Oryzias latipes: one gene and its partner. The protein of the gene in region 2 purifies or fractionates together with the protein of the main gene of each other region. This does not show direct contact. Links are inferred from orthologs where the notes say so. Each region holds a gene or a part of one and is shown on either strand. Other genes may lie near its edges. The genes, in order: tmem186 and heatr3.

Region 1 (3,351 bases), on a different chromosome or scaffold from region 2:
AATGTTATAAAACTGATGTTATGTAATTTACCAAGCCCCGGCAGCTACGCACTAACCTAGATAACCGGCGACTGTTGATGATGTCATCAAGCATCAATAGTTTATCCAAAACTCTGGGCTTGAAGGGATAAATGTAGGGGTAGGGAGAAACCGGAGGGGTAACGAATTAATTCGGATTCAACCCAATGACTGGATTTCTTTTTCTTCTCTGAGAGCTGAGGTTTCCTCTGAAGAGTGATCCTTCCAAGATATCTATTTCTAGGATTTTTTTTAATCGTTGAGAACATTTCTTTTAGGATTTCTACAACTCATTTAGCTCAGAAAACCAATTATTGATCCTGAAACTGGACTCCGTGTGTCCAATCAGGAAAAATCTGCTACAAATGGCGGACAGATGTCTAAGGCTGAATCCGGATTCTTCCCTCATCCCTGCGGCTTCTCCCTACCCCTTCATTTAGCCCTCCAAACGGAGGGATATGGGAAAATATTGTCTCCTGATTCGGGCATCACTCCCACTCGACGACATAATCCATAGTCCCCGTCAGCGCTCGGAAAATTCCTAACATCAGTTTTATAACGTTAAAGAGTGACGCTAAAACAAAAAGTCCTTAACTTCAGTCCTTCAGAGCAAACCCAAGTGAAGAAATGCATTTCTCCTCTACAGGATCACCCTTTTGAAGGGTTTGCCCCCTTAAACTATTTCAGACCCTCCAAATGCCCCAACAATTGGAGGAATAGGGAGAAGCCGGAGGGGTAGAGGAGGAATTCGGATTCGGCCTTAGTTAGCATTGAACATGTGAAGGTAACAGTCAGGACTGTAATATGTTTACATTTTTATTAACTTCCAGCACAACAGTTTCCCCCCCCCCAAGAAAAGTTCAAAGAATTTATGTTAAACTTCCAAATACTTTCTCAAAGCCCTGTCTATCCACCACCTTTCCAAAATACACAGAGAAATACAACGTCTCGGGGCCGCTGTACCTCTGAAGCCGGAGGATGGTCTCATTCGCTGAATCTCCAGTATCTCCAATGGTCATAACATCGGAAACAGGAATGTACATATCACTGCGCTTTCCCCAGAAAGTAAGGTGGGAAACTTTCAGCACGGTTTGAGATGGATCAAGGTACATCATTCCTACAACCCTCCTGAAGAAATGGCTTAGCGTGTACAGCATGACGCCAGCAAACGCAGCGATTCCAGTGGAGTAGCTGACCAAAAAGAAGGAGACGGCTCCCTGGAAATACAGGACAAACACTGGAGGCAGGATGACAGCAGTGATGGCGGTCTGGAGGAGTTTAAGTCTGGACACCGCCCTGAGGAACTTAATGTGTGGCAGGGTGTAAATCATTGAATATTTGGGGGTGGGCGAGTCGTAGTGTCGGATCAAAGTGGGAACTTTAGCTGGAACGGGTCCAGGGTGGCTCTGAACTGATGAGGAGTGTGGAGAAGGAGGAGACTCCAAGGTGTAAGCAATCCGTCCTGAGAGCAAACAGGATCCTCTGGTACATGACAGAAGGCGGGACGTCAGCCTCCGCAGCAACAGCGACTCCATCTGAGAAAAAACTTCACTTAGAAAAACATCCTTCGAAGTATGCTGAGAGACGGAAAAGCAGTTAAGGTTAGTTTCTTCCAATATCTCATAAAGTGATTTAAAGTTACTGGTATGATATTGGTCTGGTTTAGTTCAACCAGACTCTAACATACATGTTCAATGAAATCTGGGATGGATAAACTACAACATTTGCAATACAGTCAACTAAAACAGTTGTAATTCCTCCTAAATTTGCTAAATGGTATTGTAAGTCAAATGTCTTATTCCTGGTTTTGAACTCGTCTCTGGTATCTGGAAAAGGTAACCTGCTGAGACTAGAGACAGTTCATTCTGAACAGTTGTCGAACCTCCAGAACTGTTTAGTATATAAATAAAATATAAATAAAGACGAAACATCTTAATTGACGAATGAAGTTTTGTTGCTACAAGCAAAACGTGAGGAAAAAGACTCACCAGGACAGGAGACAAGGACATAAAATAAGATAAAATACAGCAACACGAGAACAGGAAGTGATCTGTTAGCCGACCAGTGACCCGGAAGTCCTTTCTTAGTCTTTTATTTTATTACTTCAATTTATTTCAAAGTCACATTTTGTTTGGTTGGCTGGCCCACGTAAGGCGTTTTAAAGTGCTGATAGTATTTATAGCCATATTTTATTGAAAAAAAATGTTTTATATTTATTGTGGTAAATTGTTTTTATTGGTTAAAAACTACAGGCTTTTATTTTGTCGTGACTTGACGGAGCACATCCGGCCCGACGGGAGAATCGATCAGCTTCAGCCGTTAACGGCTGTGTTCAAAGACGCCGAATGTGCCGGTTTCGTTACACGTTCGATGCCGTCACAAGTCAGCGGGGCGGAGCTTGTGCCATGGCGAATATCTGTGCCTAGACAGGTTAGAAAGTCTGAGTGACGCGCGGGCGGTGCTTCCGCTTCCTCCAGCTGTTTCCAGACAGGAGAGGAGCCGCGATGCTTCCGCTGGGGGACGAGGTCGCCCTCCACTCGTTGGTCTTCGTGCTGGTCTTACTGGGGACCCGAAGTCCGCTGTGGTCTGCCGTCCTCACCACTTCCTTGTACTGTTTTCTAGCCATGTTTCGTTTCCCGCAAGTGGCGCGCAGCCGAGCCCGTCTCGTGCTGCAGCCGGTGGGTTGCGGGGCGGAGAGCGCGCGGGTGTCCGTGATCGCTCACCGGGGCGGCGCGCACGACGCGCCGGAGAACACCATCGCTGCCATCAGAGAGGTGAGACGAATGTCTTTACAGGTGTTCACGGTGTCCTGTGTCACGTGGAGACGCACGTCAGTCAGTGTCACATTATTGTGAAAGCTCTGGTGAAAACGGCGTTTCTGGTGTTTTTAACTTGATCTCTTGGCTTTTTTATGGTGATGAAGGACAAATATGAAGAAAGTTGAGAATATAACTGCTTTCCTGAGTTCTTTTTTATTCAAATCGTTGTGGATCAGGAGCAGACGAAAAAATGCTGTTGGAAAAAGATCGTATTTGTGACGTAGACAGGGGGCGGCGCCCATCGGTAGCTTTGAGTTGCTAAAGCAACTGCAAGATTTGGCAAAGCAACCCCAAATATGTAGGAGCCCCACCGTTTGAAAGAGCTTACGTTATCGGACATGTCCTGACTAGAGCTGTCCAAATCTACCATTCCAACATCCAGGGCCCTAGAAATTTCCCAGAAGTCTCTGCTAAAAAACAGTGTGCATGATGCTCACTAGATCAGCGAATATAGACCACAATGCATTGCGTTGGACCAATTATTACCAAAAACATGTATTTTTTTAATGAATCA
Region 2 (4,404 bases):
GAACAATCATGAATAGAGAGATTAAATTTGATCATATGTTTCTGTTTCTTCGGTTTCAAGGTTAAATGTCACCAGATCTAAACTCACAAAAAAAATATTTTCATAAAAAAGAAGAAAAATTAGGAATAGTTTGTGGGTTTTAGGTACCTGCTGAAACAGCCAATTCCACATTACGTGGGTGCCTCTCCAGACACTGAGCAACAAGATCCAGGAGACCTGATTTGTTGAAAACAGACAGCGCCTGGCTGCTGTTTTCACTGGAAAAGAAAAGGACAACTTGAGGTAAAAATAGCAGAAGCTGCAAAGTTTTACAAACTTTGTTAAAGACCCACTCCATTGAAAATTGTGTTTTAACATGTTCTTGTGGCACTTTTCCTGAAAATGGAAGGACATATGTTGGATTTCTGAGTATTTCTTTACTCACATTGTTTGTCAAAAACATTTTTTGGAAAAATTGCTTATTTGTGGCGTCGCAAATATACTGGGCGGGCCACAAGCTTGCTCCAAGCTCTCGACAATGATTTTGGCGAAAAATGGCATAATTATAGTTAAAAGACCACTGGGAACACTTTTACAACAGATCAATAGATGACCGAGTGGGTCTTTATTGAAAAGCACTGGTAGGAAAGGGTGTCATCGAAAGCAGCACAACTTCCTGGTTTACCATAGGTTCCACAGCAGGTTCACCGCCTCGTTGGCAACATCCTCCACAGCATTTTTCTGTTCCTTCATCGTCACCACGGTGCTGTCAAAACCTGCGCAACACTGGACGCAAAACAAACCTGCTTAAAAAAACAAACAACACTTTGTTTTTAACACAAATCCAACACTGACCACAGCTTCTAATGCAGACTTCCCTACAACAAAAGCTAGACTTTAACGGCTCCAGTTCTTGACGAGCTCTTCTTTTTTACGAGACGGTTTTGCTTGCGCTGTTGAACGACACTCAACTGCGGCGGCCACTACAGCCTCCCGTGACAGCCCTTAATGAGGAGTGTGTGGAGGGAAGCCGACAGCTCTCACCTCTGTCAGCAGCGCTGTCACAGGAGTCATGATGTCTTCCTTCACCATGTCCTCGCACACTTCCTGATTTCCACATGCACTCAGATTCCTGTAAAACACAACCGAGACACATTTGAAAAGTGCTACTTTCACTGCATGACCTTTTATTAAAGCATGGCGGCCCCCGCTGAAGCGTCAGATAAGTTCAAATGCCATTAAATATTAGTCATACTAAGCAGCATTATGTGCTGCATTAGGACATGAAGAGTTCCATTTAACCACCAGTTAACTCCCAGTATATGCAAACTCTAACATCACTCCAGTTTGTGTTGTGGCTTATTAAGGGGTGAAGCCAATGAAATATGAGTGGACAGAAATATGAGGATCCTCTAACAGAAGAAGTCACAGGTCTGTGAGAGCCAGAAATCCTGTGTGTTTGTAGGTGACCAAATACTTATTTTCCACCGTAATTTACAAATAAATTCTTTAAAAATCAGACAATGTGATTTTCTGGATTTTTCTCTCTCATTTTGTCTCTCACAGTTGAGGTTTACCTGTGATGAAAGTTACAGCCCTCTATCATCTTTTTCGGTGGGAAAACTTGCACAATTGGTGGCTGACTGAATACCTTTTTGCCCCTCTGCATATATCAACAGTTAAATTCAAAGTCCCTTTAGTTGTCATGCACTGGCATTGGTCCCACTTTTAGATAGAGTCTGAGGTATGACTCGGCCGTGGATTTGAAGTCATAACCTTCCAGCCTCAGGATGGACACTACCTACCACAAGGCCCCTGGGCTGGTAACAGCTCTGGTATCTTTTGGAGCAAGTATTTTCAAATACAGCTCACGTCAGAGCATTTTGTGCCACATTTTAATATAAAAATAATAAAATAATAATAACTATAAACCTGGATTAATGGTGAATGTCTGTTAGAATAGAGTGTGAGCATTAGAATGAGGAATGTTCTCCAACAATTACACAAAGACAAATGGGATAGGCTCCAGCAACCGTTTGAGCCTCATCAGGACGTGATCATAAAGGACATTTGGGCGCCTTCTATTCTCAAAATATAAAGCATAATCATTGTTAAAAGTGATTTACAGTTGATACTAACTGTATTTTCTTATTAAAAAGATTTTAAACTGAATGACAGTGTTGTTTACAGGTTTATTTATGCCTCCACTCCAGGTAAAGATTTGATTGTTTTACCTGAGCGCCCCGGCGGCAGTCTCCCTGACAGCCAAGCTGTTGTCCAGCAGCAAGGGGCCCAGGCGCCGGACAGCATGTCTCTGGAGAAAACCGGGGATGGTCTGGCTCTGTTGGACCACCCGAGAAATGCTGGCGCACGCAAACTCACGCGTGTCTGCGTTCGGGCTTTGCAGCTGAGGAAACACACTCTGTGACTGTCGGAACGAAGTCTACAGTAACTCTCCACGACAACACGTGGATTTACCATTTACGTGACCATAAACATCTATTTTGAAAAGGACACTTCAAAATGGGAACAACTGGAACCCAAACGAAAAATGCATAACACCTTTTCCAGTAGCTCCGCGGCTGGAGAGCAATCTTCACCGTGGTCTTCCTCCTCTTCGTCAACTTCTTTCACGGCTTTCACCGGCAGCCCGACGGCGTTGAACTGCGGCCGTTTAAACTTCGTGGTTTTACTTTTACCCATGACGATCAATGACTACCTATACATAAAACACGATTTTAAGTTCGCCTTGGTTCACTCTTACTGACGATTTTAGCTCAAACTCCGATCATGCCGAGTTGGAAGCCATGTGGACGAGTCTGCCGTAAAGCGATCCTTGCCGATAGAAGACACTGTCGTAAACACCACAACTGTTGTGGCGACAAAAAAAACAAAACCAGTTTCGCACCAAACCAAAGTCCCAAATATTGCATAAACAAACACACAAAAATTCACACATTGTGCATTTATTAAGCAAATAAGTTTTAAAATACAAATACTCAGATAAAACACATAACAGAAATCTGAATAAACACATCTGCACTCACACTGAATGACTAAAATACAGTTGAAGATTTTGTGAGCATGTCAGCAGCTTCAATTCCACACTGAAACACAATTTTTAAAAACTCCAGTTCAGTCTTTGCTTTGTGTTGACAAATTCCACCTCAGCGCTGCCCGGAAAAGTTGAAAGATTCAGAGTTTGTGATCATACTTTAAGTCATTGTATGTAGTTACTGGATGCTGGGTCGTGGTTTGAGAATGAGTTTTCCAGTCTGTACATAAAGTAAACAAAAAAACACAATCAATAATGTACCAAACAATGGGTTTTAATAGGAATGCAGTTTAAATAAAAAAAGATGAACTCACATCATCACAGGACATGTTGTATTCTGCTAAAACCGTGCGACAGCGAGCAGCGATTCTTAAAAGGGCAAAGGTCAAAGATAACAATTGAAAATGGGTTTGTTAAAGAAATCTAAAGAACTTTGTATATTTTTATGGCTCCTACAGGTTTCTGTAAGTTAAATCTGAGACTTTTAAGGACATTTTTAAACATGTATTTAATATCCACTTCACAGCCTATTTTCAGGCCATATTGGCAAAAGGGAAAGAGCCCAAAAAAAGAGCCAGAAGGATGTTTTTTTTTTTCATGTCAAACCAGGTCATTATAAAGCTGAACTTTCCCATAATACTCATAAACCACCAATTCTGTTTGCAATCTCAAAGTTTGCAATAATTGGTTCCTACTTTGAACAGAAATTGTATAAAAGAACCGTTAAAGAAAAAGCCTGGAGCAAGATTCACGAGATTTCAGATCTCAGCTTTGACATTTCACACCAAGCCTCTTCTAACTGTGAGTACATGCAATAAGTACGGGGTAGCGACAGTCCAGTGTGAACACAGCATACTATAAGCGTGTTCAACGAACCTGCGTTCAACGGCCCACATGCCCAGTGTGTACATAGCATAAAGGTATTTTATCTAGTAAGACCCTGTTCTTCAGGGGTCGCAAACTGGTAGCCCCCTAAGATGATGTATAAGTTTATGATATATTAGTTTTGTCTGAATGACATTTCTACAGTGTTGTGTGCAAAGCTGACGAGCCAAACTATCACAGTGGGGTATATGGCTCTTGGGGGCGTGGCATTGACCGCGCCTGATGGTTGCACGCAGGGAAACATTTAAAGCAGGAAACCTGACACCCACCTCTATTTAACATGGGACCACATGGAAGTTACGTTGCTTGATGCATTGTGATTGTAGTCTACTCTAAGATAGATCTGATCTGATAGAGACTGCAGTCCACGTTAATGAATTTCTTCCTTTTCTTTTATTTCATGCGTAACGCTTGTTCCAATCTCCAATGAACAGCGTCCATCCTCTTACTACCCACAGTTTGAATTCAATTATAAAAATATAGTA

What was found.
Region 1: the proteins of heatr3 (region 2) and tmem186 purify together in Homo sapiens (co-immunoprecipitation; 3 studies listed by BioGRID and IntAct, counting the BioPlex papers as one, with this or other methods). This does not show direct contact. The link is inferred for Oryzias latipes from reciprocal best matches to the Homo sapiens genes HEATR3 and TMEM186.

Annotation. Positions count from the first base shown.
Region 1 is NC_019859.2:36,188,098-36,191,448, reverse strand, and holds tmem186 (transmembrane protein 186), read right to left. Parts: upstream 2,167-3,351; 5' UTR 2,028-2,166; coding exon 2,007-2,027; intron 1,554-2,006; coding exon 888-1,553; 3' UTR 819-887; downstream 1-818. Other genes in the region: gde1 (glycerophosphodiester phosphodiesterase 1), read left to right, coding at 2,523-2,792. UniProt on the Homo sapiens protein: As part of the MCIA complex, required for efficient assembly of the mitochondrial complex I.
Region 2 is NC_019861.2:30,455,049-30,459,452, forward strand, and holds the start of heatr3 (HEAT repeat-containing protein 3), read right to left. Parts: upstream 2,823-4,404; 5' UTR 2,683-2,822; coding exon 2,542-2,682; intron 2,387-2,541; coding exon 2,214-2,386; intron 1,112-2,213; coding exon 1,024-1,111; intron 766-1,023; coding exon 665-765; intron 258-664; coding exon 148-257; intron 1-147. Other genes in the region: cnep1r1 (nuclear envelope phosphatase-regulatory subunit 1), read right to left, coding at 3,213-3,254, 3,349-3,403. UniProt on the Homo sapiens protein: Plays a role in ribosome biogenesis and in nuclear import of the 60S ribosomal protein L5/large ribosomal subunit protein uL18 (RPL5). Required for proper erythrocyte maturation.